4 linked regions of the Lonchura striata genome follow. The protein of the gene in region 1 interacts with the protein of each later gene in a pairwise test. Links are inferred from orthologs where the notes say so. Each region holds a gene or a part of one and is shown in the gene's direction. Other genes may lie near its edges.

Evidence for each region.
Region 2: the proteins of UBQLN1 (region 1) and SCG2 interact in binary tests that used the Homo sapiens proteins (3 or more experiments, as listed by UniProt). The two-hybrid records come from large-scale screens. The link is inferred for Lonchura striata from reciprocal best matches to the Homo sapiens genes UBQLN1 and SCG2.
Region 3: the proteins of UBQLN1 (region 1) and NME3 interact in binary tests that used the Homo sapiens proteins (3 or more experiments, as listed by UniProt). The two-hybrid records come from large-scale screens. The link is inferred for Lonchura striata from reciprocal best matches to the Homo sapiens genes UBQLN1 and NME3.
Region 4: the proteins of UBQLN1 (region 1) and TXNDC12 interact in binary tests that used the Homo sapiens proteins (3 or more experiments, as listed by UniProt). The two-hybrid records come from large-scale screens. The link is inferred for Lonchura striata from reciprocal best matches to the Homo sapiens genes UBQLN1 and TXNDC12.

What each region holds. Positions count from the first base shown.
Region 1 is NC_134642.1:26,244,898-26,251,790, reverse strand, and holds the start of UBQLN1 (ubiquilin-1), read left to right. Parts: upstream 1-3,884; 5' UTR 3,885-3,991; coding exon 3,992-4,147; intron 4,148-6,893. UniProt on the Homo sapiens protein: Plays an important role in the regulation of different protein degradation mechanisms and pathways including ubiquitin-proteasome system (UPS), autophagy and endoplasmic reticulum-associated protein degradation (ERAD) pathway.
Region 2 is NC_134612.1:9,379,983-9,387,045, reverse strand, and holds the start of SCG2 (secretogranin-2), read left to right. Parts: upstream 1-4,059; 5' UTR 4,060-4,157; intron 4,158-7,063. UniProt on the Homo sapiens protein: Neuroendocrine protein of the granin family that regulates the biogenesis of secretory granules.
Region 3 is NC_134618.1:3,027,424-3,035,440, reverse strand, and holds the start of NME3 (nucleoside diphosphate kinase 3), read left to right. Parts: upstream 1-5,012; 5' UTR 5,013-5,051; coding exon 5,052-5,097; intron 5,098-5,348; coding exon 5,349-5,479; intron 5,480-5,888; coding exon 5,889-5,990; intron 5,991-6,445; coding exon 6,446-6,558; intron 6,559-7,257; coding exon 7,258-7,375; 3' UTR 7,376-8,017. UniProt on the Homo sapiens protein: Catalyzes the phosphorylation of ribonucleosides and deoxyribonucleoside diphosphates, other than ATP, into the corresponding triphosphates with ATP as the major phosphate donor.
Region 4 is NC_134611.1:9,911,206-9,919,097, forward strand, and holds the start of TXNDC12 (thioredoxin domain-containing protein 12), read left to right. Parts: upstream 1-4,878; 5' UTR 4,879-5,269; coding exon 5,270-5,360; intron 5,361-5,677; exon of another isoform or gene 5,678-5,796; intron 5,797-7,334; coding exon 7,335-7,395; intron 7,396-7,892. Other genes in the region: BTF3L4 (transcription factor BTF3 homolog 4), read right to left, coding at 126-327, 2,369-2,482, 3,329-3,382. UniProt on the Homo sapiens protein: Protein-disulfide reductase of the endoplasmic reticulum that promotes disulfide bond formation in client proteins through its thiol-disulfide oxidase activity.

The sequences.
Region 1 (6,893 bases):
TTACCATCGCCTCTCTGTGCCCAGACGGGGGCTGTAGCCTTGCATGTCCCTGGCGGTCGGGAGGCTTTTTCTTTTCCAAGGAGGACGCCACCTCACTCAGTCTTTTTGGAGTAATTCATACTGGAAAGCTCCTTCTCTTTCTCGGAAAGCTACCTTTTCTACCCTCTCCTCCCTATTCTGGGCTTTGGGGGTGAGGGGATCGAAAGGACACCAATGGTACAGAATTGTAAGCGACGACACGTCAGCTATGGGAGAATTGTTAACATCCTAAGGGAGGCCCTACACATCCATGCATTTCATCAGCTTCCAGCCACGTCGGGCCCCTCTCCTGTAGTATTCCCCTTCAGCTTCTGTGAAGCTTCCCCTTCCCTTTTCCCCACAGACTTCCCCAAACCTTCTCCCTTGGGGATGGCAGCAGCCGAGCCGCCCCAAGCGCCCTGCCGGACACTGTTATCCTCCCTTAGGGGCGGCACTGGCCGTGCCTCCCCGGGTGAGATGCAGTGCACCCAGCACCCCCTCCCAAGATGGCGCTGGCCATGCTACAGGGATCCCATTTTCCCACCTTGACCCTTCTCTTCCACCCCAAGTTTTCCCGCTGGCCCAACCCCTCCCCGAATGGCCCTGCACCATCCTGCAGTGGGCCAGCCCCTATTGGGGGGAGGTGAGGTTGGATTAATCCCTCAGTTCTTCTTCTGGCCCCCCTCTGATGGGAGGGATCACCAGAGGGGTCCCTCTGTTAGAGGACCTCCCTTTGTAAGAGAGCTTGCCCCTTTGCTGTGGGAAAGGGGGGGGGTTCAAAGGGAGTGGAGCTGGAAACCCGGACCAGAGCTCCACTGTTTCTCTTTCCCCTGAAACAGTGACGCCCAGGTTCTCCCCTCTATCCCATCTAAATGTACCTTGCCCAAAGTTCCCTTATTATTTCAATGCAAGTTTTCCCCATTGCTTGTGATAATTTGGAAATAACTCCTTGGATTGAGATATATCTTATAGAAGGAAAGATCATCCTCTCTAATTACTGCCCACAATGGTATGCCAACTTCGCAATCAAATAATCAAATTGGAGAAACCACGTTGCTGTTTGGTGCCTGTTTCTGCTCTGCTAGTATGCGAAAAACCACAAGCATCGCATCATGAATCCTGCTTTCATCCTCGATACAGAATGTGTTTATGATAATTTTGTACTTTGTCTTAAATTGTAATGTGGAAAAAATTTTTGCTCCATTCATTGATTGGTGTATCACTTTCTGATGTCTCTCTACTTACATTTTCTCAGTAATTTGTAACGTTGCTAATTTGTTTTTACCTCAGAACTCCCTTTCCTTTATGTAAATTCAAAAGACTGAGCTGCGGGGTTTGTAATTTTCTCTTCTTCCCCTCCCATTCCCCCTCTCCCCTTCCCACATGTTCCCCCTTTGTCCTGTGACCCAGCCCACCCCTCCCCGCTCCCCCGCGGTCCTTTGTCCCGACCCTGCATTCCCTTATCACTCCCCCTCACCACGCGGTCCGGTCCCTGTCCCCCCCCCCTCCCCTCCTTTCCCATCACTGCTCCTACTTCCCTGGGGTCTCCAGGGCTCCGGGGTCTCCAGGGCTCACCCTGTCTCCTGCCCTGTCCCTATTGGCTGTGGCTCAGGTTCCCCCACCCTGGGGTATAACCGACCCCTGGGTCAGTGTCCGTGGTCTCGGGGACACACTCCCACAATAAACACGTGTCTGCCCCCGAGCCCCGTGTCATCCTTCCGTCTGTTCCCACACTAGAACTGAGCCTCGCAGAGCAAAAGGGGAAAAGCGGCGCCGTCTCTCCCTCCCGCCATGCTCCCGCAGGCACCTGCCCAGAGCCGGTCTCGCACGGCAACACTTAGCAATACCTTTAAAGTAGTAAATGTCTAGGATGTATTCTTCTTTAGCTGGGGCCAAGTAACTTAAAGGCAAAAGGTACTGAATTATTTCATTGATGTACATTCACAAACTATGCCAAGTTACTCTTCTTGCATCTTCCGACACCAAACCCCTGCATCTCACTACAGGCCTCTGTGACACCTCATGTCTCATGGATTGGAGCTCCAGCAAACCACAGCTGCACGGCCAGCACCTGCACTCCCAGACCCTAGTTGGGAAACTGGTGACCTTCTGCATGGACCTCTGGAGATCACCATCCAGGCTAAGCCTTCTGCCAAGGGAAGGTCAGCTAGAGCAGGTTACACAGGAACATGTCCAGACAGGTTTTGAATGCCTCAAGAGAGAGAGAATCCATGACCTTCCTGGGCAGCCTGTTCCAGTGCTCTGTCATGCTAACTGTAAAGTTCTTCCCCATGCTGAAGTGGAATTTCCTGTCTTTGAGTTTATGCCCATTGCTCCTCGTCATGTTACTGGGCACCCCTGAAAAGAGGCTGGCACTATCTCTTTGTGAAAAACGCCAGTCACTTGTTTAGTTGATAAGTTTAACAGGAATAAAATAGCTATTAAAATAGTAGCAAAAATTAGAGCAGTAAGTATTTGGACAATAAAAAGCAAAGAATTATGGATGTCTGGGTGCCTTGCACTCTGCCACAAAGCACACCTTGCTAAATAAGGATTACCCCTTAAAAGCAATAGCCTGTTGCGTATTCATAATCTCATACATGATTTAAAAATTCAAACAAAGGATTTCTTCTGCTTAGAAGGATTTCTTCTGCTTACTCCCACCTTCGTCTTGTAAATTAGTCATGTTGGTCCCTTGGAGTCTGCGTCTTCCCAATAAGGAGGCAGTAATTATTCTCTTGGAATTTTAGTGTCTTGTTGCTGTTATCCCTATGCAAAGAATTTCTTAATTATCCATTCCTTGAGCTACTTGTAAAAAGAATCTTACATCACATTTCTATTTTAATATGCTATTGCCTAAAACTATATTTACCACATTACTTAAAAGAGATTAATACAGCATAACTTTCCAACATAACACCTATAGTATTCATTTTAATATTTGCGAAGAGCCAATCATGTAATATGCATTTTTCACACTCTTTGTATCCACCTTTGAGATATTCACATATATTGATGAATCCCCTCTCAGGCTTCTCCAGACTAAACAGGCCCACCTCCTGCAGTCCCTTCTCATACGAGAGATGTTTCAAGCCCCAAATTGTCCTTGTGAGTCCCACTGGACCCTCTCCAGTAGCTCCTTGTCTCTCTTGTACCGAGGAGCCCAGAAGTGGACGTGGCGCTGCAGTGTCCTCCCAGAGTGCTGTCCGTGGAGGCCGGCACAGCCCGGAGCCGAGGCGGCGGCCGGCACAGCCCGGAGCCCAGGCGGCGGCGGCCGGCACATCCCGAGCCCAGGCGGCGGCCGGCACAGCCCGGAGCCCAGGCGGCGGCCGGCACATCCCGGAGCCCAGGCGGCGGCCGGCACATCCCCGAGCCCAGGCGGCGGCCGGCACATCCCGAGCCCAGGCGGCGGCCGGCACAGCCCGGAGCCGAGGCGGCGGCCGGCACATCCCGGAGCCCAGGCGGCGGCGGCCGGCACATCCCGGAGCCGAGGCGGCGGCCGGCACATCCCCGAGCCCAGGCGGCGGCCGGCACATCCCGAGCCCAGGCGGCGGCCGGCACAGCCCGGAGCCGAGGCGGCGGCCGGCACATCCCGGAGCCCAGGCGGCGGCCGGCACATCCCGGAGCCGAGGCGGCGGCGGCCGGCACATCCCGGAGCCGAGGCGGCGGCCGGCACATCCCGAGCCCAGGCGGCGGCGGCCGGCACATCCCGAGCCCAGGCGGCGGCCGGCACATCCCGAGCCCAGGCGGCGGCCGGCACATCCCGAGCCCAGGCGGCGGCGGGAGCGCTCCGCTGGGAGTCGCGCGCCGCCCCTTCCAGTACCTTCCCCGGTGCGTGCGTCATCACGGCGCGCGGCGGCCGGGCCCAGCCGTTTCCGGTGTCGCGGGCGCGTCGCGAGCGCTCGGTTGCAGCCGCCGGAGCCGGGAGCCGAGCGCGCTGCCCCGCCCCGCCCCGCCCCACCGGGACACGGCGATGTCGGACACAGCGGACGGGCCCGCGGGGGGCCCCCCTGGCTCGCCCACCCGCGACTCGGCCGGTGACTCCGAGCCGCGGATCATCAAAGTCACGGTGAAGACTCCCAAGGAGAAGGAGGAGTTCGCCGTTTCCGAGGCCAGCAGCATCCGGCAGGTGAGGGGCGGCGCGGCGGGCTGCGGAGCCGGCGGGGCGCGCTGGGGCCGGGCCGGGCGGAGCGCCGCCCGGCTGGCAGCGCCGGCCCGCGGCTCCCGGCTCGGCTGCGCGGGGCCCGGGCCCTGCCCAGTGACAAAGCAGCTTCTGCTCGCCCGGGAAGGGACTGCTGCCTTCTGAGGAGGGCGGGGGCAGTGGAGAAATGTGCCGCCTCGCACCCTCCTCTCCCGCTTCTCTGTTACACTGCAGAGGGCCGGTTCGGAAGCTGGATGTAGCTCATTCGTCAACTCGTTGAGTCGTAGAAACGTGGGGGTTGGAAGGAAACATCAAAAATCTTCCAGTTCCCCTGTCGTAGGCAGGGACACTTTCAGATAGACTAGGTTGCTCAAAGCACCATTCAGCCTGGGTTGGAATACTTCCAGGGATGGGCCATCCACAGCTTCTCTGGTCAGCCTGTTCCAGTGCCTCACCACCCCCACAGTAAAGAATTTTTTCGTAATAGCTAATCTAAACCTACTCTCTTTCTCTTTGAAGCTATTGCCCCTTGTCCTGTCAGCACATGTTCTTGCAAACAGGCTTGCCTCATCCTTCCTGTAAGTTCCCTTCAGGTGTTGGAAGGCCACAATTAGGCCACCCCAAAGCCTTCTCTTCTCTCATTTTCTAGCTGTGAGTTGTCCTGTTCAGCTGACTGGCTTTGGTGGTAGTTGTCTCACTGTCTGGCTAACATGACTGTAGAAAACATACACAGTTACTTGTATCTCTGTATTTCCAGTGTTTATTTTGATCTAACACTGTCTTTAAAGACAGTGAGTAGGCCTTGAACTTTGGGAAGTTGTAGCCTTGTACTGTGTTTGCAAAATCTTCAGTCTCCCATACTCTGATGTGCTAGTTACAGATATAGTACTTAGCATGGCATGGTTATGTCAGATAACCAATTTATTAGGGCTTTTGTGCCTTCCTGTGAAAGTCTATGCTCCAGCTGCCTTTGTCTCAAACTAGTGACACCTGCTGATTCATCCACACTGTTTCGTGCAAGTCTTCTATTTTTTCAACTCTTTTAGTAGGTTTGCTGTGCAAGTATTGACTAAAAATTCATTTACTTAAATTAGAAAGCAACAAATCATAGCAAAGCTGCTATCAAAATGTAAAAATGCAGAGACTCCTGCTTACAAAGAATGTAGGTGTTGCTAGATTCAGAACTTCTTTTGTTTTCCATAGGATTTCCCAGTTTTCACCTTGAAATGGCTCTAACTGTGTCAACTTTGTGCTATTCCACATTTTTTTGTGTGACTTTGGTATTGCAGACTTCATAAAAAAAGATAACATGTCTGAAAGCGTCACTTATATCTAGATACAGAACTTGACATCATTCTTTAAGTGTGAGCTGAAGGACACTGATTGGTTAATAGAAGAGGATACAAAAGATTAAGTAAAATCTCCGAAATTTCAAATGTAGTGATAGCTATTCAACTAGACTGTCAGACTTTTGTTTCATCTAGTTGCTGTGAATAGAGAAAATGCTAATATTTCTTTGAGGTTTTTTTTGTCCTTGTGTCTAATCTACATTCAGTTTTGTTTTGCAATGTTGGTTTTTTTTTTTTTTTTTTGTACATCAGTGTTTGGGCTAGAAGTGTCCCAGACCTGAGTTTCATTGAGGTTTTCTCAGCTGCCAATGCACTGAAGCTGCTTTCTTGTCCTCTTGTCTTTTGGCAGCTGCAGTGTTGTGTGCAGTGAGCTATTCTCTCTGCAAGCTTGATCTAGGCATTTCTCCCAAAAGTAAAAAGACTGTGTTTGCTTTTTAGTGTTTTCCACTGCTTTCCCAGCAATCTCAGTCTGAAAAGGGTGCTTTCCACTTCTCTGTTCTCCATATATTTGTGAACAGCAGCAATGCAGTTTTTGTAAAAGTCTTTGCAGTTTTGGGGCTTTTGTTTTGTTAGGATATTTTAAAAGAGAGATTCATAAACTTAATATAACCTGAGGATTGTGTTTGTCCTGTAAAGCAATCAGCCATTAGCTGGGTCCTTTGGAATTAATAAAGAGATTTACTTTAGCTGTGAATCTTGTAATACATTTGACTTTAACAAGTTTGTTTCAGATTTGAATACTGGCGGATCTGCCAGGTTTTCAAATAAACAGTTGTCATAAACTGAAATGGTTGTACAACCTATCAAGCACATGAATTTTTACTGAAAGCAGTCATACAAGTTTAGAAAATTAACAGAGGATACTACTTCAGATGTCTCTGTTGTCTACAGATACCTTAAACTGTGTTTTCTCTCTTGGCACTGCTGTTAAAATATTAGATGTGCGGTTATGACTTAATTCTTGTGAAGTAAGATTTCCCTGCTGGGTTGACCATTGGATTGAAGTCTCAGGCAGTGTAACAGCACAAAAAAATGCGCTGTCCCCATAGAATGACTAATACTGGCTTTTTCTCTTAAACTGCAAAAATGAGCTGTTGATTATAATAAGTATAAACAATAGATGCAATGTTTCTAGAACCAGCCTTGAGAATAGGTTAATCTCAAATACCAGGCGAGTTGCACATCTGTTCAAGTGCATCTGGGATCAGCAAGTGGTTTGTACAGTTGAGATAAGTGGGCCAGTAGCTTGTAGGCTGAAAGGAAAACAAAACAAAACAACAACAAAAAAAGGCAAAAGAAACTCCCTCAGTATATTTTTATAGCTAACATTAGAACTTAAAGAATTGAGCTGTTTATTTCTTTACGGTCATTTCAGGTACTGCTAG
Region 2 (7,063 bases), on another chromosome or scaffold:
GGAGGCTGCTATACTGGAACAAGTATAGCAGTAAACTCTTTCCCTGTTGATTCATCTGCTGCTTATGCAGCTCCTTCCAGCCCGGGCTTCTCTGCCCCTCTGGCACTGGCTGAGCTGATAGATCCCATGGGGGTTTCTCCTATGGGGTGGAGCCTGATTACCCCAAGTTTCAGGCATCCCATGGTAAGTGTAGGTCACTGGGCAGGTAGCAGCAGCGAGGCAGCGGGCTGGGCTCCTCCTGCAGCCCCTGGAGAACTCCAGAGGCACTGGAGGGGTGCCAGAGCCTGGGGAAGGATGCTAAGCAGGAGGCAGAGCTGAGCCTCAGCCCTGGGGCAGGCTGCAGAGGGAGTGGAGTGATGATGCCCTTGGCCAGCACTGGGGCACAGCCCCGTGTGCAGGGGTGGCAGACAAGCCTTGCCTAAGGCTCCTCTTCAGTTTAATTTTTTTTTTTATAAGCAGGCAGCCTGAAATCCTGAACTTGTAAATGTTGGTTAAAAGTCCAGATTTTGGGTTTGGCTTTTCCTTAGCTTTTCCTGTTCTTGAAATGTCCCCTCAGGGAGGTGTGTAGGGCAGGCTGGTGTTAAACCTGCTTAATCTCATTGCAGTGTTGAATAAAGCCCAGTGATCTACAGCCAGTGCTTGCCTTGACATCCCTGCTTTTAAAGGACTGTGGTTAAAAACTGCAAACCCCTTATTTTTCCTTACAATGCTGTACTTATCCCTCCCCTTATGGCTTTGGAAATGAAATTTGAGCCATTTATTGTGCACTAAATTTAGGCAGGCCAAAAATATTTGCATACAAATATGACTGATCTTTCAAGCATGCAAAATGAGCAGAAAATGACAAGTCTGATGTTGGATACAGGCAGAACTCAAGTATTTTAAAATTAAAATAATTTAAAAGAATCTGTATCTATGATGGCAGATGAGCCTTTTATGAGGAAAGAAAACCTCCTCTTTCTCATTATATTCAGAGTAAATGAAGATATTCAAGTCAGATATGGACTGAATTTTAAATGTGACAATGGCATTTATTCTGCAGGAGATGTCATGTCTGTAATGAATTGTAAATTATTTTTAGTTGCTACTAGAAACAGAAGAAGGGAAGGAAATAATCAATATTGACACAACCCTGCTTTATTTTTAAGCAGTGCTGATCTTGGTGGCACCAATTAGAGGAGGAGAGAGCCAGAGCTGCAGAGCTGCAAACCATTCTGGTGTTTAGAAAAGGGCCAGAGCAGCCAGACAAATGTGCTGCCCCCCTGGGCTGGTGATCCCAGCCAGATCATCATTCCAGCCTCTGCTGGGAGCTGGGCAGGTGTGGTGCAGCCCATGGTCCATGAACTGCTGTGGTTCTGGCCACCCTCACCCCCTGCTGCTGCTGTGTCCTGGGCACAAGCACAGTGACCCCAAGGCCCTTTGCCACAGCATGCTTCCTCCTCAAGACAAGTTTTCTGGCTTTTCTTTTCCCACTGACTGTAGGGATGATGATATTCGAGCTGGGGTATGACAAAACAGAGAGTGCAGGGACCCTCCAGCCTCTGTTTGCTGCAGTGAAGTTCCCCTCCCAACCCCGTGCCCTCTTTCTAGCATGAAATGAAATTAAATAAAAGGCTTTTGCTGCAAGGTGCAGGGTTGATTGATTAACCTTTATCTTCTCATGATGGGTAAGGTAGAGCATGTGACAAGCAAGCTGTTCAGAAAAATCACTGTGGGTAGAGCTGGGCTGTTCCCAGAATGCACAAAAGGATGCACATGGTCAAAATTCACTCAGAAAAACAAGATTACCCATCTCCTTTGCTTAAGCAGTTGCTATTGAGCTAATTCTAATGTAATTTCCTAAAGCTGAGAGATGCTGTGATGTGATCTTACTCTTGTATAAAATGCCATGGAACTTCTGATGACAGAACAGATCCAATTTTCAGTTGCATGACTCATTCTAAGGAAAAGAATGCTGTACATTCAATATGACCAAAAAAAAAAAAAAAAATTCAGTAAGGCCCTCCTTATAGGGCTGGGTGGATGCAATCAATCGTAAGCACAAAGTCCAGGCAACTTTTTGATATGGAGTAAAATTGACAGATGGATTGTAGAGAGCCTTTGGAAAATTTTATCCACTGAACCCAGAATAGCCACAGCAGAGACCAAAGCCAAGTGTCTGGCTGACTTTATATGCTGTAAACCTGAGGTGAGTGGTTAAGGAGGATGCAATCTTGCTCATGTGCCGAATAATTTGGATTGTCTGAAATGTGCTCTAATGCAGAAGATCAGGGATAGATGGATGGGGTTCAACAGCATGATTTCATGGGAAAGAATTTGCTCCATAAGTATTAGTCATTTGGTGACAGAATACACAAGAGCCTGTTGGAAACTCTTGCAGAAGCACAGGAAAATTCCTGAAAGTCTGAATTGAGTAATTTTCTTCTGGGTGTTTTCTGTTATTATTTTGTTTGTTGGTTTTGATTACACTGAGTATTCTGTCCCTGGACTGAGGTGTCTCAGTGACAGCAGTGTCTGCAGTGCTGTGTTTTGTGGGCATTCAGGACCCTGCTGAAGGGGATGTGGTGTTGAGCAATACAGTTCCCAGCTGCTCAGAGGGCACTTGGACCTTGCCCTCTGCTACTGCAGCAATGCCTTTCTCTTTCCCTTCCTCAGAGCTGCTATCATGGGCCCTAATGCAATATTTTTTGGGCTCTTTACTTCCCGGGCCTGGCAATGGAAGTGCATGTATTGGATGGAATTTGGGGCCAGAATAAAGCTGCTGCTGAAGATTTTCAGCACAAAAACTGAAACTGTATCAGCAAATGCAGCTAGGATTTTCTTGTTGTCTGTTCATGGCTACAATTATTTCTAGCTTACTGTTCTTACAATAATTTAATTTTGTTATGTTTCTTGGCTTGGAAGGTACATTCATCCTAGGTTTTTTTGCTTTTTGTGCGGTAAAAGGTCAGAATTGTCAGGAAAGATTTATTTTGGGGGAAAAGGAATACTTATTTAAAAGCCAAAGCAAAACAACCTTTCTGTAATAGGAAGGAAGCAGAAGGGACAAGCTAAAACTCTGAGCATCAGCTGAAGCCATGTGTTACATCTTGTGTTTTGTGATTTATGGCATAGTGGTATTTACTCACCTCACTGATCCAGGCGTGCAAGTGCTGCCCTTTTTGAGTGCTGAGAAGGGAGATAAAACCATGAGGGCCTTTTCAGCAGTGCCTGGCAGTGCCCCAGGGATGGGCAGCCCCTCTCTGGCTCCCTCCCCATCCAGAGGAGCACCAGCCTGGCCCCTGTCCCATCCACAGCCAGGGCACACAGGCTGGCATGGGGCTGCAGGAGCAGGAGGAACCTTCTGCCTTGTATTTCCCCAGTGTGCTTCAGTTTTTCCATCTTCCTCAGACAAACAACGGAGGGGTGTCCTTCTCCCCTCAGGAGCACTGATCTCTAGTTGGTCCAGAGCTCCAGGGCCTCCTACACCTGATGACAAGGCCACAGATGCCATGAACCCTGCCTGCCCTGTGACAAAGCCAGAAATGTGCCACAATAGCTCAGTCAATGACCTAAAGAGAAAAATTAAAAAGCCCAGCTGGCCACCGCTGCTGAAAGGCACGGGCACAGGCAGGCACGGGCACGCTGACCCTGGGTGCAGAGTCATCCTCACGGCCGGGCTCGCACCCCGCTCCGGCCCCGCGCGTCCCCGCCGCGCTCCCGCTCCGGCCCCGGCCGTGCCCCGCTGCTGCTGCGGCCTGCGCCCGCCCCCGAGGTGTCGCTCGGGCTTGTCGAGTCCTTCCTCCCAGCCTAAGAAGCAGCATCACATCTGCCTTTTCCTTTCCTTTTTCTTTCTTTTTTCTTTTTAAACCTCTTTCCCCTTTCCCCCTTCTTTCTTCCTTGCCTTGCTTTTCTCTCCTTGTTTTTCCTCGTGGCTTTTTTCCCCCTCTGTATTTTTTTTTTTTTTTTTTTACTTTCTCCTTTTTTCTCCTTCCCCCCGCTTTTCCCGCTGCCGGTTTTACGTGCCGGGTGTGTGCCCGCTCCGTGCGGGCCCGGGGTCGCTCCGCCCGGGCGGGGCCGGGCCGGGCGGGGCCGGGCGGGGCCGTGACGCGCGGCCGGGGCGGTATAAGCGGCGCTGTCCGGGTGCTGAAGGCGGCGGAGCGGCGGCAGCAGCGCAGGTAGGGCTGGAGCGCCGGCGGCTGCAGGGATGTAGATCGGGATTAGGGATACAGGGCTGTAGGGATGTAGATCGGGATGTAGAGATACAGGGCTGTAGGGATGTAGATTGGGATATAGGGATATAGGACTGTAGGGCTGTAGATTGGGATATAGGGATATAGGGCTGTAGGGATGTAGACTGAGATACAGGGATGTAGGGTTGTAGGGATGTAGATTGGGATATAGGGATATAGGGCTGTAGGGATGTAGACTGAGATACAGGGATATAGGGTTGTAGGGATGTAGATTGGGATGTAGGGACACAGGGCTGTAGGGATGTAGATTGGGATGTAGGGATACAGGGCTGTAGGGATGTATATTGGGATATAGGGATATAGGGCTGTAGGGATGTAGACTGAGATACAGGGATATAGGGTTGTAGGGATGTTGGGTTGTAGGGATGTAGATTGGGATGTAGGGATACAGGGCTGTAGGGATGTAGACTGAGATACAGGGATATAGGGTTGTAGGGATGTAGGACTGTAGGGATGTAGATTGGGATATAGGGATATAGGGCTGTAGGGATGTAGACGGAGATACAGGGATATAGGGTTGTAGGGATGTAGATTGGGATGTAGGGATACAGGGATGTAGGGATGTAGATTGGGATATAGGGATATAGGGCTGTAGGGATGTAGATTGGGATATAGGGATATAGGGCTGTAGGGATGTAGGTTGGGATGTAGGGATTATAGGGCTGTAGGGCTGTAGATTGGGATGTAGGGATGTAGATTGGGATGTAGGGCTGTAGGGCTGTAGATTGGGATGTAGGGATTATAGGGCTGTAGGGATATAGGGCTGTAGGGCTGTAGATTGGGATGTAGGGCTGTAGATTTGGATGTGGGTATACAGGGCTGTGGATTGGGATGTAGGGAGCATGGAGCCCCAGGGCTGCGCAGGGGGATCCAGCACCGAGAGCAGTGAAGTCGCACCAAGAGCGGTGATGCCGGGGCTGGGGTTTGCAAGAGAACACATCATTGTAAAATGTGCTCCTATCACTATATATACTGCATACATATAACAATGTGTGTGTGTATGTATAAATAGATATATGTTGTATCCATGGGCTCTCAGCACCGGCCGGAGCAGTGGCACTCAGCCGTGCCGGGTCACCGACATGGCACTTCTGTGGATGGGCGGAGGGTTCCCTCGGATGCAAACAGCCTCTGAGTCACTTCCCAGACAGATCCACATGCAAACATTCCTTTTATTCACTAGAACTGCCGTGGCTTTGGGCTTTTACCCTTCGTTGCTGTTTTGTTTGTTTTTTCAGTCCCTTCCACAGGGTAAAGGGTTAGAGATGCTTTTAAACAAGGCAAATTTACTGCAGGTATGTTATTTATTGCAAAAAAGAAATGGGAGGAACAGTGCATGATATATTTATTTTCCCTGTGAAAAGCTGCTGTTAGGTTTCACCTAAGGCTGTCAGGGCAGGGAGATGTCTATAGGAATAACCTATGAGTTTTCATAGCTAAATTTCACTGGAAACATTAGAGTCACATCAGAAACAACTGCCAGGAGAATGAGAGAGAAAATTACTGCTACCATGGAAACATCCCAGAAAGGAGATATTTTCTGTGTCTGTTTTTTAGGGAACTTTTTTCAGTCTCTATTGCCTTTGTATGTGTTAAATTTTGATAATGATTGCCTCATTTTGTAAAGAGAAGCTTCTTCATCTTCATTTGTTGGCTAAAAGATGATTTTCCTGTTTGTTAGGTTCTAATAGAGGAGAAAATATGCTCTCCATCTAGACTGGCTTCACAGTTATCGATCTGAAAAAAAAAGAACTGTTTTAGTATATTGTCCTTTGCGAGGCACAGGAGAGAATGGTTATGATATTTCCTAAAGATGGGCTAAAATGTTTTGTTTTTAAACAAATTTGGAATTAAAGTCTGAAAGACTGGCGAGGAATCCTCTTACCTTGGATAGCACAGTATATTTAATGACAAGATTTACGACCCGAACTCATAGCTTGTAAAAGAAATAATTCCCAAATCTGTTTGGCAAGGATTTCAAATACCATCTACTAGTAAATTAGAAGTAAAAATTGACCTAGAGGCAAATGCACACAAAATATGTAGAGAGGAGCCAATGTTATTTCTGCAAAGGAAATATCCAATTGAGCAACATCCTTGTCGAATGCTAAACTAAACTTTGCCTGGCTGCACACATTTTGATTTTAGTGGGATGCTGACAGCTCTTGCAAAGGCTGTAACAATCCAAATTGTGTGCAGCAAAGGAGGGTGAGTTGCTGGTCTTTGTGAGTGGGAGGTGCTTGGCAGATGATTATAGACTTACTCTCCCTTCCCCCATCCCTTGGAAAGGACAGTTTCTCATGTGCTGATCAAACAAACGCTGTTGATAACCAGTCTCTGCTGGAAAAGAAAGTCTTAATTTCACTTATTTGCTACAGAAATAGAAAAATTAGGTGCTGTTTGGTTGTTTGTTTGCTTTTGCTTTTATTTTTAAAATGGATATATACATTTATGTACAGTGTTAATGCCTTTTCTGTGACAGAAAATGAAGCAATATATTGGCTTTGACTCAGGGCCAACTCAGATCCAGAGGGTGGGACTGTCTAATCAGCTGTTGAACTAATCATTTGTGAAATCAATGCTCAAATGTACTCAGGCATGAAGTCAGAAATGTTTGGGGAAATTGTTTGCTATTATGCCTGTTAGCCTGCTCATGCATACTGAAGGGGGGAAAATAAGCAGCTCTCTGAACTGATAATGCTTTAATTATTAAGTTGTATTATGCTAAGGACAAAAACTGAGTGGAAAAATCTACAAGTGAGCTGAAATGAACATATTCATGCTCACTTTCTGCTTCCAGCAGTGGGTAAACATGGGTGTACACAGCTCTT
Region 3 (8,017 bases), on another chromosome or scaffold:
GAATTTAGTTCAAGGGATATCAAGCCAGGGTTTAGACGGTGTTTGACCTACTTTGTGACTGCTGTGGCATCACAAGGAGCACTGCTGGGGGACACAGGCTCTGCAAGGCAGGGAACCGAGGGAGAACCAACAGCCCCTTTCACAGCTGAGCAGCTGGTGGTGGATTTGGAGAGGGGAGGCTGTGCTCAGGCCCCCCTGAACAAGAGGCTCCAAATACTGCCTCAAAATTTGCAGTTCCTCCTCAATCCCACTGCCAGCCAGGGTGAAGGTGTAAGCAAGTGGATACAACCTGATCCAAGGCAGCCACCACCTCCCTGGCAAAGCATTCCTTTACAGAACTCACACACGTGGGACTTTGCCATCAGCCCGACCCAAGTGACAGAAAGCTTCAAGGACTCTGTTTTACCTCCAGTATCTCCTTGTGAGGCAAAGGAAGCTGCTTGGGAGCTGGGGCTCTGCATTGCCAGGCTCAGGGGCTGCTGCCTGCCCTGCCCTGGGCACAGGGCTCATGCAGGGGCCCCACACACTCACATTCCAGGGCTGCTGTCTACAAAGAGGGAAAGGTCAGGCTTAGTCCCACATGTGCCACCTCTGATCTGACCTGCAGCTGGAAATAAAGGTGTGGCAGCAGCTCCCCTGTGAGAGGAGACCACCAAACCATGGTGAGACCCACTGGCTGCCTCTGCTGGCAGAACTCCATAGGCCACAGCTGGGTTTTTATACAAAAACATTTATCCTCACAGGTTTAGGTGAGGAGCCGAGGAGGTGGTGAGACAGGAGCTGTCCCTGAGAAATCATCTCTGATGCCCCAAGGGCTGGAGCCCCTCTACTCTGGAGCCAGGCTGGGAGAGCTGGGAGTGCTCACCTGGAGAGGAGAAGCTCCAGGGAGAGCTCAGAGCCCTGCCAGGGCCTAAAGGGGCTCCAGGAGAGCTGGAGAGGGACTGGGGACAAGGGATGGAGGGACAGGACACAGGGAATGGCTCCCACTGCCAGAGGGCAGGGCTGGATGGGATATTGGGAAGGAATTGTTCCCTGGCAGGGTGGGCAGGCCCTGGCACAGGGTGCCCAGAGCAGCTGTGGCTGCCCCTGGATCCCTGGCAGTGCCCAAGGCCGGGTTGGACGGGGTTTGGAGCAGCCTGGGACAGTGGGAGGTGCCCCTGTCCATGGCAGAGGGTAGAATGAGATGGGCTTCGAGATCTCTTCCAACTCAAACCACTCTGGGATTCTATGAAATACTCCAGACAGAACAGGAGAGACCAAGCTAGTGCAGCTGCATGTGTGCAGGAGTTTTGGATGTGATCCCAGCATCAGCACAGAGGAGACTCCTCTGCTGTGCACCTACAGGACAGGAAGGATTGGGAGCAGCACACAGGTGACAGAATCAGAGCCCACAAGAAGGGCTCCAGGCTGTGGACATCCCTCAGGGCACTGAACAGCAACCAGTGTCCTGCTGCCCTCCTGGCTCACCTCCAGAGCACCAGCACCCAGCTCCTCACTGGCACTGCCTATTCCAGCCTGTCCTTCTCTGGCCTTGGATGGGACTGGATGGACTGGAATTTCTCAGAGAAGAAGCCCAGGCTGTCCAAACAGGTATAAATAAAATGCTGTAGCGCTGCACTGAAGTGAGAACTAACATAAACCTCTGCTTCAAAGTGCAAGTGTTTCCCTGGGCTGTGGACCCTGAGTGTTTCTTTCCAGGAAATCTTTCATAGACTCGATGAGAATGGAAAAGCCAAATGCAAGGAAAGGCAAGGTTTGAGCTGCTCCCTCTGAGGAAGCATCACCTGTCCTGGGGTTAGAGATACATCCCTGGAGACCTTCTGTTGTACTCAGCTACTCCCAGTTTTCAGAGCACCCCTCTCTGTATCAGAGCTTTGCTTCAGGGTGGAGCAATGGCACTTTGCAATGGGTCCTCATCTGTTCCATGTTCCCTTGCTGTGGAGCACTTTGTGTAGCTCTGGCTCTGACATCTGTACCCCCTGTGTCCAGAAAAAGGTGCTTCAGGAAATATTCTGGCTCTACCAACCCCTCTTTATCCTGAGAAGTGAAATATTTCCAGCAGGATCAGTAGTCCAGGATGAAAGTAGACAGGTCTGCACCTGTGCAGAGCCCACTCTGTGAGAAGCACCAACACTCCAGGCTGTGCCAGTGCTATGCTGGTGAAAAACCACAGCTGAACTGAAATGTGAAAATCCTCCCCAAACAAGCAAAAAGGTGCAAAAAGAGCCTGAGAAGGAAGGCAGTGCCAACTGCAGAAGTTGCTGAGTGTGATGAAAGGAGACAAAAAGCCTTTGTCTGCACTGCACAGTGTTGGATGGCCACCTTATCTGCACCTACATGCTCTGGGGTCTCTTACATAACTACAGGATCTGCAATGTTCTATCCAGCAGGAGCAAAAATAGAGCTCTGCCTCCGCCTGAAATTCCTGCAGTGGGGGCGAGCAGGGGAACAGCCCCTCCCAGCCTCCCCTGCCACTCTGGGGTCCTCCACACTGAACCTTCCCACTGAAATTAGAAGGTGTTTGGTGCCAGAAGGTACCTGGCCATTCAGGCTCCCTGTGAAGGGTTCAAAAAGTGATCACTGGGCTTTCCAAACAAGGCAGCAAATTTGTTCAGCCCTTCCAGATGTGCAGCTGCTGCCTGTGGCACCATTCCATGCACACATCTGGGATGGGAATGCTGAGCACCCAAGTGAAAGCTCTGCAGGAAGGATCTGTAGTCTCTTTCTTGCTTACTGCAGCTTCCTGTGCTCACCCTAGCTACACACCTGCCTAAAACTGTGCCTAAAAGACTGGCTCAGGAACAATCTGCCTGGGAATCAGGCCCAGCTCCATTTCCTAAGCCACCTGGAAAACAGTAATCCACATTTCTGGGAATCCTAGAGAGGGAAGTCAAAGACTTCTCCCCACAGCACAGCATTATCAGAGAAGATGAGAAGGGCTCACCCAAGCAGAGAGTGTTTGACATGTTTCTCCTCCAAATTCTGCTGCAGGGAACTGCCTGAGGCTCCAAAGAACATTTACAGTCCAAGGAAATGAAAACCTTCACCCAAGTGCCTGCACCAGGATCTTTGAGAAGACCTGTGGAGAATGACAGAACAGCCCTGGTATGAGAAAATGAGGTGTTTCATCAGCATTGAGAAACAACAGAAATAAAACAAGTGTGAAATGAGGGATGTTGCCTGTGTGGAAGTCTGGCTGCCTGCAGCACACATGAGTGCTGGCTGGGCTGGGGACTGAGCTGCTGACTTCATCACTGACACCTCTGCAGGAACCTTGAAAAGGGTCCTAGAATAAATCTTAGTAAATTGACAGAAACATCACTATTTTTGAACTAGCCTTCTGTGAAGGAAGACTGAGATCAGCCATCTGGCTGGAGTTAGGAAGCTGAGTTTTCACCACCACACTCCTTCAGCCCCACTGCCACTCCTGTGTGGAAGAGGTTTTACAGTGACTTTGGTAAGCCAGAGAGAAGTTTGATTAGAGGATCCATGTTTACCCCTGCAAGAATTTCCTACCAAGGTCATTGACACAGAAACCACCAAAGAAAGAAGGATAAATAAGAGAAACCTGCAACTTACTATTCCAATGAGCACTTTGTTTGTCTTTCCTGACCAATGAGTAAAGTGTAAACTTTTGAGTCTTGTGAGGATGTATAAAAATCATGCATACTAAAATAAAAACGGGTTTTGAAGCCTTCTGAAAATGGAGTGTTGCTTTGTATTGTCTCAATTACGATGCTCCCACACCAGGACACACACAGGTTGGACACACACAGCTGTCACCGGCAGCACATGGAGAATGTGGTTCATTAGTGGCTCTGTGAGCAGCTAAATGAGAGCTGACAGCATCTCTTAGGCACCTTCCTCAGAGTCCTCTGCAACCTTTCCAGACCTGTGAGAGCTGTTTCCCTGCACTTGATAATCCAGATGGGATTTGTTTGAGATGTTCCAACAAAATAGCCCGGCAGTCCCTAAGAAAACGAGGGGAGGGCTGACAACGCTGCTTGTGCACCTGGAAATCGCAGCCTTGTTCCAGGGCAGCCCCGGCGGGCCGGGACGGCCCCGGGCTGCGGGGGGCTAGGAGCTGCTCCGCGCTGCCTGCGCTCCCTCTGCCGGCACCAGGGCTCCGGGAGCAGCCTCTGGGAACATCCCCTGGCACCGCCCTCGCCTCCCGAGCAGTGCCCGCGGCTCCGCAGCGGGCAGAGGTCATGCACAGAGGATGTTCCACCGCCACCGAAACAACCAGCGCAGCGCGACTCTGTGGAGCGGACGGGCTCAGCTTTCCTCGGGCAAAGCCACGCTCTGGGCCTCCAGGCTGCAGCCACTAATTGTTTATGAGTACAAACGCAGGAATAATTTACTCAAAACGATGTTGGATAAAGCAGCTGGATCCCTGCTGTTTGGAGACGGACCCCTGCGTGTCCCAGCCAAGAGCTGAACCGAGGAGAAGGAGCAGAACAGCGTCTCTGAACATGAGAAGCGGGATGGAAACAGACCCAGCACCAGCCCTCCACAGGGCAGCTGGGCGCAGGTATTTCATGGGCTGGTGTTTCCAGAGGCTGCTTTTGGAGGGAGCTGAACTAAGAGGTGAATTCCTGAGAGCGATGGAGCCCTGGAGCGCAGTCCATGCCCTTCCCAAGCCCCTGAGGCTGAGGTGGCGTTAAGAGCCGGGCTTACAGCCCAGAACGAAGGCAGCAGCGTGTGCCCCGCACGGAGGAGCTCCCCAGCCCGGCGGGGCTGCAGCTCTGCCCGGGGCAGCGCAGGGCTCCCCTTCCTGGGCTCGGTACCGCAGCTGCCCCGTGACCGGACTGCTCCAGCCACGGCCAGCGTGCAGGGACAGCGCAGGGAGAAGCCTGATAAGCAGCCGGGAGGCTGTGGCCGGGCCGGCGGCGCAGGGGGGCTCCGAGGCGGCAGGGAGGCCGCACACCCCGCCCCGGCGGAGCGCGGCCGCCCGCGGCCATGGGAACGCCGTCCCGCTGTCCCGTGTCGCGGCGCGATGTTCCGCGGGGGCGGTGACAGCGCGGGGCAGCACGGCCCCTTTCAGAGCCGCCATGATCTGCCTGGTGCTGGGGCTCTTCGCCGGCCTCTTCCACGGTGGTACGGGACGGGACGGGACCCCCGGGCCGGCTCTGAGGGATCCCCCTTGTGCCTGAGGGCCTCCCTTCCCCGGAGAGACCCCGCGGCTGAAGGGCCGGGCCGGGCCGGGCCCCCGTGCCCTCCGCGGCCGGACCGCCCTGCGCTCCCTGCGGGAGCCTGGGCCCGCCCTGAGCCCCGCCACCCCCGTGCCGCTCGCCTGCAGGCCCGGGGGCGTCCCCTTCCCCGCTCAGAGCTCTGCCCTGTCCCTGCAGCCTTCGGCGGGGTCCATGAACGAACCTTCGTGGCCATCAAGCCGGACGGGGTCCAGCGGCGCCTGGTCGGGGAGATCATCCGGCGCTTCGAGAGGAAGGGGCTGCAGCTGGTGGGGATGAAGCTGCTGCAGGTGAGCGGCTGGGCCCGCCCAGGCTGGGGGGCCCTGCAGTCGGGGAGCCCCTGCAGCCCCCCGAGCCTCGGCTGCGCTGCTAACTGCTGGGGGTTCTGCCTGTCATCCGGCCCCTGCAACCTGCTGCTGTCATTCCAGCGGCAAATCCCCGCAGCTCAGGGGAGAGCTGGCACTGGGAGGGGCGATTCCAGCTGTGGGGAGCATGTCTGCCCTTGCTGTGCTGTACTCCAGGGCTGTCACTGTAAGCTGGCAGCTGGAAACTCCTCTCTGTGTCAGGCTCCTGCTGTTTCACTCCCGGAACTGAGCATCTGTGCAAGAGCTTCATTCTCTCCATTTCCTGCATCCCTGAGGTGCAGCCCTTGCCCAGATGCCCCGTGTGGGAGCAGACTAAGCTCTGTGCTCTGTGCAGGCCTCGGAGGAGCTGCTGAAGGAACACTACATCTCCCTGCGGGACCGTCCCTTCTACGGCCGCCTGGTGAAGTACATGAGCTCCGGGCCCATCGTGGCCATGGTGAGTGCTGGCCGGGGCCCTGGGCCAAGGAACAGGGACAAAGTGCGAGGTGTGAGCAGCAGTGCCTGTTAGCACAGTGGAAGTAATGTGATATCCCCCCTCAGAGGGTCTCTTGAAGCTGTACTGAACTGCAGAGATGTTTTCTGTTGTAAATTAAATCATAGAACAGTTTGGGTTGGAAGGGACCTTAAAGGTCTCGTTCCACCCCTGCCATGGCAGGGGCACCTTCCACTAGACCAAGGTTGCTCTAAGCCCCATCCAGCCTGGCCTTGAGCACTTCCAGGGATAGGGAGAAATCCACAGACCATTTGGATTATTTTCCAAAATCAACTTTGTAAGAATAATTCGGAGAGCCCCTTTGCTGTCAGCCACGTGGATCTGGTGGGGAATTCAGAGGGCAGATGTGACCTGCTGGGGCAGCTGTGGAAGTTGATCCTGGTTTTGCTCTCCTGTAGGTCTGGCAGGGCCTGGATGTGGTGAAGACAGTTCGCACCATGATCGGGGAGACCAATCCAGCTGAATCCAAGCCTGGCACCATCCGAGGAGACTTCTGTGTTGAAGTCAGCAAGTGAGAGCTTTGACTTCTTCTTCCTTCAGTGTTTCAGGGCATCCTGTCCAGGCCTGCCTGAGCCACATGAGTCTGCATTCCCAGAGCAGAAGTTCTCCCTTTTGTGCTCAGACCAGAGCTGAGCTCTGCTTTCCAGGGTTGGCTTTAATAGGAAGAAGAGCCTGGGTTGTGTCTTTCCTTCCTCCTGAGTCCTCTGTTGAAAGCAGGAGGGCTTTGCCTGTTTTCCTCTGGTAATTGGGACTGTCAGGCTGTGAATAGGAATGGGAGCTCCCACTCAGTCCTTTCGTGGGAGCAGGTGAATATGCACGGGTGGTGACCTTGGGTGGCCCCAGCCTGGCTTGTGGTAGACACAGCTCTTACTGAACCATCCTGGCTTAGATCTGTTTCCTGGTGCCTGATACAAAACCTGCTTTGATGGAAGGGGGAAAATCTGAAGGCACAGATGGAATCACTGACATAAAAAATGTACATCCCAGAGCTACAGCCACTTGCAGCTCCTCCTGTAGCAAACAGAAGGTTCCTCAGCATAGGAGGGGCAAGTGCTGGGAACTGGCACTGCTGGAAGGATGAATGGTGTGGGATAGGAGGGGATATTGTGGGACAGGACTGGCTCCATTGCTTTACTAAAATTGGTCAAGGAGGAATTTTGCAGGTTGCAGCATCCCTCTCCCACCTTTCTCCCTCTCTCCTTGCCCACAGGAACGTGATCCATGGCAGTGACTCGGTGGAGAGTGCCCAGCAGGAGATCTCGCTCTGGTTCCGCCCCGAGGAGCTGCCGTGCTGGGAGGACACGGCTGCACACTGGATCTACGAGTGAGCAGCAATCCCAAGGGAAGTTATCTTCCTGCTGGGACACAGCACACTTCCATCCATTTCATGGCAGCTGCTGGAGCTGGCTGCAGATCCTCTGTGGGATTCCTCTTGTGTCTGTGGGATCCTGGCAGCTGGGCTGTGTGTGGAACTCTGGTTCAGCTCCTGCCAAGGGGAGCTCTTCCTTTTTTTCTCTCTTTGCTCTAGTAATTAGTTGGTATTTTTGCTTTGTTTGCTGCAGCATCTTAAATCCCAGGTAGCTCAAGCTGATTAATTGTAGCAAAACTTGGGCTCTTGGCCCATTCCTGGGTGTTCTCATCCCTGCCTGGAGCAGGAGAATGCGTTTTCCTTGCTGCTGGGAGAGCTGCTGGTCACGAGGTGATGGGCTTGGCAATTTACCTGCATTTCCAGAAGGCTTTTCACCAAAGGCTCTTAAAGAATTGGGCTGCTGTAGGAGAAGGGAGCAAATTCTCATTTTGGAGTTTATTCCAAGACAAGGAATGCAGGATGGGACAATTCTCTCTCCCTTGGTGGGAGTCCTGTGTGTTGGGACTGGCAAAAGCTCACCCAGTTTCAGACGTATTGAGTGAGTCCGTGGAAGGAAGATTCTCCAAATGCTGCTAACACACAATTCCTCAGGCTCTGCTTC
Region 4 (7,892 bases), on another chromosome or scaffold:
GGCAAATAAAAGCACACACACACTTCTGACTTTTTAAGTCACATGCTTTTGTTAAATTTGGGTTAAAACTTTCAGTAGTTCACATGTCCTTTAAGTCAGCTATGAAATATTCCAAAAAGACCTACCTTGTCTTGGGAATTGTTCAGCTAACTTCCTGAGACTTGTTAAGCTGTCAGCACCAAGCTGGCTTAAGATGCCTGGAAGCATTTCTGTGATCGGTTTAGCTTCTGCATGACCAGTAATTGCAAAAGTGTTGGCAGAGAGGGAAGCTTGAACCTTGGGGTTGTTGAAGTGAATAACTGTTCCATCATCTTTTATCATGTTCACCTGTTTAAATATATTAATAACATTTACCTTACCTAAGTGTTGCAGCATCTTGTTACACAAGCATTGCAACTAAAATCTAGATTTGAAAAATCAAAAATTACAGAACTAGAACTCCTCCTAAAGGATAATACGATAAAAGCACCTGGAATTAACACCATCTAAATTCAAAGCTCCAACAGCAGCACCTTGCCACATCAGGTTAAGCCACTGCCTTTCACAGGTACCTGTGTCACCTACCAGGAAAACATTCCTGCTTCTTCCCAGCTGACAAGAGGCACAGGACTCACACTGGCTCAAGGCAGGGATGCACATGCAGCACTGGGGGATTATGTACCCACTGCACTAGAATAGACTTCCAATACCTTCCCAATAATTCCATGAGGGCTCTTAAGACTAAGGACACCACACAGTGATCCTGCTCTCCTCTTCTTCCCTGGTCTTCTGAATCACCAAGAGTTCTACCTTACAGTCAGTGTAGTGGCTGCTTTAGAAAGCTGAAAAGCTTTTTCTTCTGGGCATGGATAAACTATTATGCAAAAAATAATTGTCTGACCATAGGAAGAGACTTCTACCCATCCAACACAATAGTGGTATTAAACTTACATGAAAAAAATATTAAGCAATGTTTTTAAGTTACAGGGAGAAAAGAGGGATTCAGAACTAAAAACGACATCTAAAATACAAAAACATCTAAGTCCTCAATCCTTACACAGCAGCAGAGTTCCAAATACGTTTTGAACAGGAAATCCAGGTGTGCCGCTTTCCTGCAAAACTAAGCAATATCCTGTCCTTTGCCCATGGGGAAATGGTAAAAGCTTCAAGCACAGTTATCCTGTTACTTAAAAGCCTCTTTCAAAATGACACAAATGTGTTATTCATGCTTGACTCAACATTACTTTTGTATCTGCATGAAGCTTACCAAGGTCAACTTGCGTTCACTTGAATAAAACCTTCCACAATTATGTCTCTTGCTATCAAGGTAGAAACATTTTGCATCGTCTTCCTACACTGAGATATTTAAATTCCTTAATAACTGTCTGAATAAAGATCCTGTGCTCTGTGCACAAAAAAAACCCTGAACATACACTAAGAAGAACCATATCTTACTTTAGTTCATACAGCTCTGCATATTTGTATTAAGTTCAAGAAAACAGACACACTGAACTGTTTCTGTAACAGAGGTCTGAAAACTTACAGGCAAACCACACCAAATCTGCATTTGCCTTTGGAAGAGAGGAATGCACTTCTCCATGCACGTTGCAATCCTGCTTCAATTAATTAATCAGAGATCAAATACTGCACTTCTTTAACGAAGGAGTACAAGCACTGCAGCCACACTGAGCTCATGATGGAGAAAACTACTTCTCTTCCCATATATGAGGGTCACTCCCTATACTGTTATGGAAAACATGTTTTATTAATACATGTAAATGAGAGGCATTCAAGGAACACCTGAAACCTTCACATTCCCACTTACATTAACACAGAAGCTGCCTCTGTGGAGACTCTGCACTGCTGTAAAAAAACATTTCCTGTAACTACTACAAACAATTCCAGCAATTTTTCGCAGTAAAAGGTCCTAATTTTGATAATACAGACTCAAGTTCATAGTCAAGGTGTTTCTAAACCTTCCTTCATACTCTGCACCACACTTGCTCTAGATGTGCCTGCACAGTCCATGTACATTTACTGCTCTTTGCTTTAGAGCAAGTAATCAAATTCATAAAAGTCAAGAATGAAGAGAAGCTTTGTTCTGCAATAAATGCAAGACACACACACACACATACAGCACACAGCTTACTACCTCCACCACACATTGCCTGGCCAGCAGAACCTGCACCTTTCCTTCTCCAGGCACATACACATTAATGTCAATGAGGCAACAATCATCAAACAACATTACCTCTCAATAACCAGATCTCTATGCTTTTGCTTGGAAGATAAAACTGTTGTAAAAAGAAAGGCAAACCACACCACACCACCACCAAAACAGCAGATTGAATTTAACTTCAAACAGGAAACACTTATTTTTTCACTATACCTCTTCAATGCCAGCAATGTTATTTACAGCCAGTTTTTTGAGGGAACTCTGAAGTTTTTTGTCATCAGCTGTAGCTGTTCTGTGTACCACCTTCTTCTTTCTGCGAGCTGTTCCCTGGGAAGAATCGAGACAAAAGTCAGCTCTCCTCAAAATCTCACAAAGACTAATTGCAAAAGTCAGGGCACAGTCTGAGCAATATCTTTCAAGTTATGAGACATTTCTGTAGACAAAAACTATTCTCAACTTATTTCCCTTTACCTACAGCTTTGCCCACCATTCCCGATTTTAAGTTTTTTCTTAAGCATAAAGACCAAAGAAATAGTAAACAGCAGTACATTTTCCCTTCCACTCACCCAGCCTACAAAAATACTACTTATTATTGAGCAATACAGAACAAAGTTTCCCCAAGATACTTTTTCCAAAACAAAGCACAAATACAGTGATTAAAATAGTTCCACTTTGGCAACCAAGTCATTAACGCTTTCAGAGTGTTCCACAGACAGCAATTTTGGAATTCCTGCTTTGAAAACTTCTGTACAATCATTCCTACAAGGGGATGAGCACCCACACTGAACAAACAACATGCCCTTTTATCAGTCATATTAACCACCCATTAGCTCAGAGAAAAGAAACAGCTCAGTGCACAGCCAGTGCCTGAAGCAGGCACAAAGAAGAAAATCCCCAACAGGAAGACCATAAAGGCATAACTGGGACATCCAACAGGTGAGATTAGCTGGAGCTTTCACAGGTCACAACAAGTCATTGAATTAGAACAATGCTTACACACTGGAAACTGCTCATCCAGCCGTTGTGAACTGAAAGAAACTTGTGTTTCAGGTAGCTGCACTACAGGCCAGATCACACAAAACCTGTATTAGTCAAACCTGAGAATACTTTTTTTCTTCTCTTTCTATGAGTTTCAGTCCATGCTTTCAAAAGCATCTCTGGTGGTTTTCTTACCTTTCCTCCTATTCGGACCTGCGCTTGAAGCTTGGCCAGTTTTTCTTGGTTCATAGTGCTACGTCTAAAGAGCAAGAACAAGTTCAACTTAACAGTAATAACAAAAAGTCACAGTCCATGTTAAGAGCACTCTTACGATTGCAGCAGGTTTTTCAAACTTCTAGAACATCACCCAAAACAGTGTGTCAAACAAACACACAAAAACAGAGCTTTCAAATTATACCCCCTAAACTATCCATAGTGGTCCTGCAGCAGGAAGGACACACATTTAGCTGAAGCGTCTATGCCAAGATGAGGCAACTCTACAGGACGTTTCATTCTGCATCAGGCCAAGGTACTCATTTCCAAGATGCCAGTTTATTGCTGGAAGTATTTAACTGAATTACTGGCTCCAACCAGACCCAAACCAGCACAGAGAACTGGGTCTGGGAAAACACCATCTTTACGAGGGTCCAGGGACACAGTCACCACTAAACTACCTGGGATAGTATTCATGGAATTAATCTATTATACTTATGACTAATAAGCGAGATCCAAACTCTGTGAACTTCGTGTATGGACATATTTACTACATGAACTTCTGGCAGCTTTTCATCCAATACAGTGACCGCGAATTTTGTGCAGTGCTTCTCCCACGAGTCAGATGGGACCTTTAAAGGCTAAAAGCCCCGAAAATCCATAACGTGTGAAAAAAGGCCTCAAGCCTTCCACCAAAATGAATGCGTTTCGCTGCTCTGCCCCAGCGAGCCACCAGTGATCCCCAGAAATCCCCGCATGTGCTTTGTGCCGGGAACGAGCGGGGGCAGAGCGGGAGCGGGGCAGGGATCGGCGCACGGAGACCCTGCGGGGCGGCGGGGGAAGGGGCTCGGGGTGGCTCGCTGGGCAGCCCCACAGCACGGGAACACGGCTCATCCCTCAGGAGCCCGTGTAACCGCGGTCTCACGGCAGAGCCGCGGCCCCGCGAGCCAGGGCAGCCCCCGCACAAGGGGATCGCTCGCTCGGCCTCTCCCCGAGGAACGGCCCAGTACTGCCCAAGGGGACGGGACCGAGCTGCCGCGGCGCGCCGCCCGCCTCAGGACGGCGGGGACGCGGCGGCAGCGGGACGCGGCGGTCCCGGGACACGGAGACAGCGGGACGCGGGAAGAGCGGCCCCCTCACCTGAGCGCGGCGGAGCCCGCGGCCAACACGCGGCGAGAACAAGATGGCGGCCGAGGAAGGAAAGAGAGGCGCACAGAGAAAGGAAGCGCCGCGCCACGTGACGGCGCCAGCCCGCCCGCAGATGGGCGGGCCCGCCCACCTCATTTACATAGAGGCGGCCGTGTGGCGAGCAAGGGCTCCTGGGAGTTGTAGTCTCCAGGGAGCGGCAGTCACCCGCGCCTCGGGGCAGGGAGCGGTGCCCTGTGACCCAAACTGGGACGCGGCGCTTCCAAACGCGTCACCACTCGCTCTGTCCCTCTCAGGGAAGCCTCCCTCACACGCTGCGCTTGCGGTCGGATTTGCTTTCCCGACAGCCAGGCAACTCCAGAGAGCAGCGCGACAAAAGCGTTTATTTGTGAAAGAGAAAATAAACCCGGAAACACTCCCCTCCCACCGCTGCCTGCTCCCGTCGGGATAACGCTGGGGTTTGCCCAGGGGGAGTAACCAGGACTCGGGGCCCCGGTGCGATGACTCCTACCCCGTAAGGAGCTGAGCCCATGCCGAGCCCCCCACACCGCTCCCGCGGCTGCCTCCCCCAGCACCGGGGGCCGGGCCGTCGGAGCGGCGCACCGCCCACATCCGCCACACATCACTTCCCGGGCTTTAAAAACGGGGAAAGAGGAAAAAAAAAAAAAAAAAAAAAAAAAAGAGGAGAAAAAAAAAAAAAAAAAAAAAAGTCTAGCTAAGCGGGTCCTGTCCTGTCCGGAGGTTCGGGGCCGTGCCGCCGCTTTCCGCGCAGACACCATGAAGGCTCAGCCCGCGGCAGCCTCCGTCCTCTGCCTGTGCCTGGTGCTGGCGGCCTGCGCCGCCTCCGCCGCGGGAGGGCTCGGAAAGGGTCAGACAAACGCTTTCTTCGGCTTCCCCCAATTCCTGTCCCCACTCGCGGCCACCGGGCGGGGGCACGGCACGTTCCCCTCAGCCCGCGGGGCCGCCGGGCGGGAGCAAAGGGCGCAGCTTCGGGCTGTGGAGGCGCGGGGGGCTTCGCGGGGTCTCCGCCGTTGCGGTCGGGTTCTGGCCGAAGCCTTTCTGAGGGCTCTGGGGAGCAGCCCCGCCGTGCCCCTGCCTGCCCCGAGCCCCGCCGGGCTCCTGGCAGGCGTGAATGGCCCTTCCCTCCGCCCGCGGCTCCCCTTGCCCTTCGTGCCCGCTTCTCACCTCGCTCCTGGCTTGCCCGGGCTCCTTGCCTAATTACCGTGTCTAATAGCCCGGTTCATCCGGGGCCTGGGCTTCTCCCCGAGTGGTGGCTCTGCCGTAGAGGTAAATCTCCTCCTCAAGGCTGGTTGTAACCAATTTGATCAATGACAGCAAAGCTGTGGTGTGGATCCCAGCCAGCCATTCACCCTTTAATTCCCCAAATGACTTTCATTCAAAAGATGCACTCTGTAATGTGTTGGGCAATGCTTTTAAAAACACACTGTAGTTCACCACGTAGTGGGGTTTGTTTTAAATACAGAAAAGCTTTTGAAAAGTGTTTCCCAGCTAGAACAATAGAAGGTTTTTCCTATTTTAACATTTTGGCCTTCGACTGAAATAGCTGACATGTCAATATTCTGGGTAAACGTGACTTGTGCTATTCCATCTGGGTTTTTGCTCTGGGATGTTGAGCTCGTACAAATGTAGTCCTGTGTCGGGGGCTGCCTCAGCACTTGCTGTGTGGGTGTGAGGGGACAGGGATGAGGCATCTCCACATCTCTTTGATGTGTTGCATCACTTAGGTTCACAGTTGCTTGTATCAGCAGAGATCAAACACTGTGCCTGTGTCCACACCTCCTGGATGCTGAACAGAGGCGGCCCAAAGATTTGCTGGCACTGTTTTGGGCTTTCTCCAGATTCTTTGCCCTAGTTGTGTACTGGAGAAAATGTCCACTTTCCCCTATGTCTGCACTGGGCAGTCTGTGGCTCCTGATCTCTCTGCAGCTCCCAAAATCTCCCCTAGGCACCTCGGGCATGGTGGGTTCCTGACTAATCTGAAACTTACGGATGGGAAGGGGCAAACCAAGGCTCATGTTTGGCCATCCAGCACAGTAATTGTTAATTACTGGAACCAAGACCGCTGAGGAGGTGTTCCAAGAGAGTTCCTCTTTGTACAGTTCCTGGATCTCCTTCATCTAAGCTTCCCAGGTGGCATTTGGCTATGTGCTCTGTTGGCTACTAAAAAAGCCCAACCCTGGCAGTCACTGCTTTACAGCTGTTAAACATACCCTGACTCACTCTTAAGTTAATTGACATAACAAGACTTGTTATCTGGATGTCAGATAAAACGTTTCCTGCATCGTTCAGTCACTATAACACTCAGAAATCTGTATAATGGTGTTCTTTCTTGCTCTTCCATGCTATTATCATCAGCAGGAATACTTAGCATAATAGCTTTAGAGCAATTAGTGATCATATGTTCGCCTTGAAATTTTTAATTTTCAGTTTAGTTCACCTTCAGTGGGATTTAGGAAGCCAAATGCTGAGATGTTTAATTTGTCACTCATCAGATAATAAATGTTCACAGAATGAAAAAGAACGGAGAATAATCAGAAGGCACTTCAATTTTAATATCTGTTTGGGGGATTTTAGTGTCATTGACATACATATATAGAAATATTCATGAGCATGGTATGTTTTTGCTAATTAATTTCAGTGGGATTCCTCATACAACTGTGTGGGCTTTAAGTATTTGCAGAAGTCTTTCCAGAAGTGGGGCTATAGTTGTCTTTAAAAAAAGAATATAAAATGAGTTGAAAATACTCGAGTGTTGGGCTGTTTTCCTCTATTAGCTGACATGTTAAATTATGCAGCATTTATAAACTCCTCTCTCTGGCAGGTTTTGGAGATCATATTCATTGGAGAACACTAGAAGATGGGAAGAAAGAGGCAGCAGCCAGGTATGTTTGTTGGTTTTAAATACAGAAATTTCTCTTCAGAAGCATTCACAATGGTTCTATTTCAGGCGTAAATTTAACCACAGAAAATAGTCTCTTTTAACAGAACTGAGGGTGATTTAGGAAACTCTTCAGATCCCTACAGGTTACTGGAGAGAAAATACAGAATTTTGTTAAGTTTGCTAAGGCACCAGCTAGGTATAATCACTGCAGTCTAATTAAATAATTGAAGCCCTAGCATGTCCTTGAAACAAGAAAATATTTATCACAGTAAAGAAAGATATGGTTCTCCAACACACAAATGCAAGTGTAAGTGGTGCTCAATGCCCTTAAAATCAGCAGTGCTAAGAGCTTCCCTAAAATTCCTTGTGCCTGTATAGATGAGGTCTCAGCATGAGGTATTTTGTTTCCATCTGCAGCAAAAACCTGGAAGTTTCAAGCTGTAGTGAACTGACAGAACCTGGTTTGGGCTAAGCCTAAATTCTAAAAAGAACAATGAC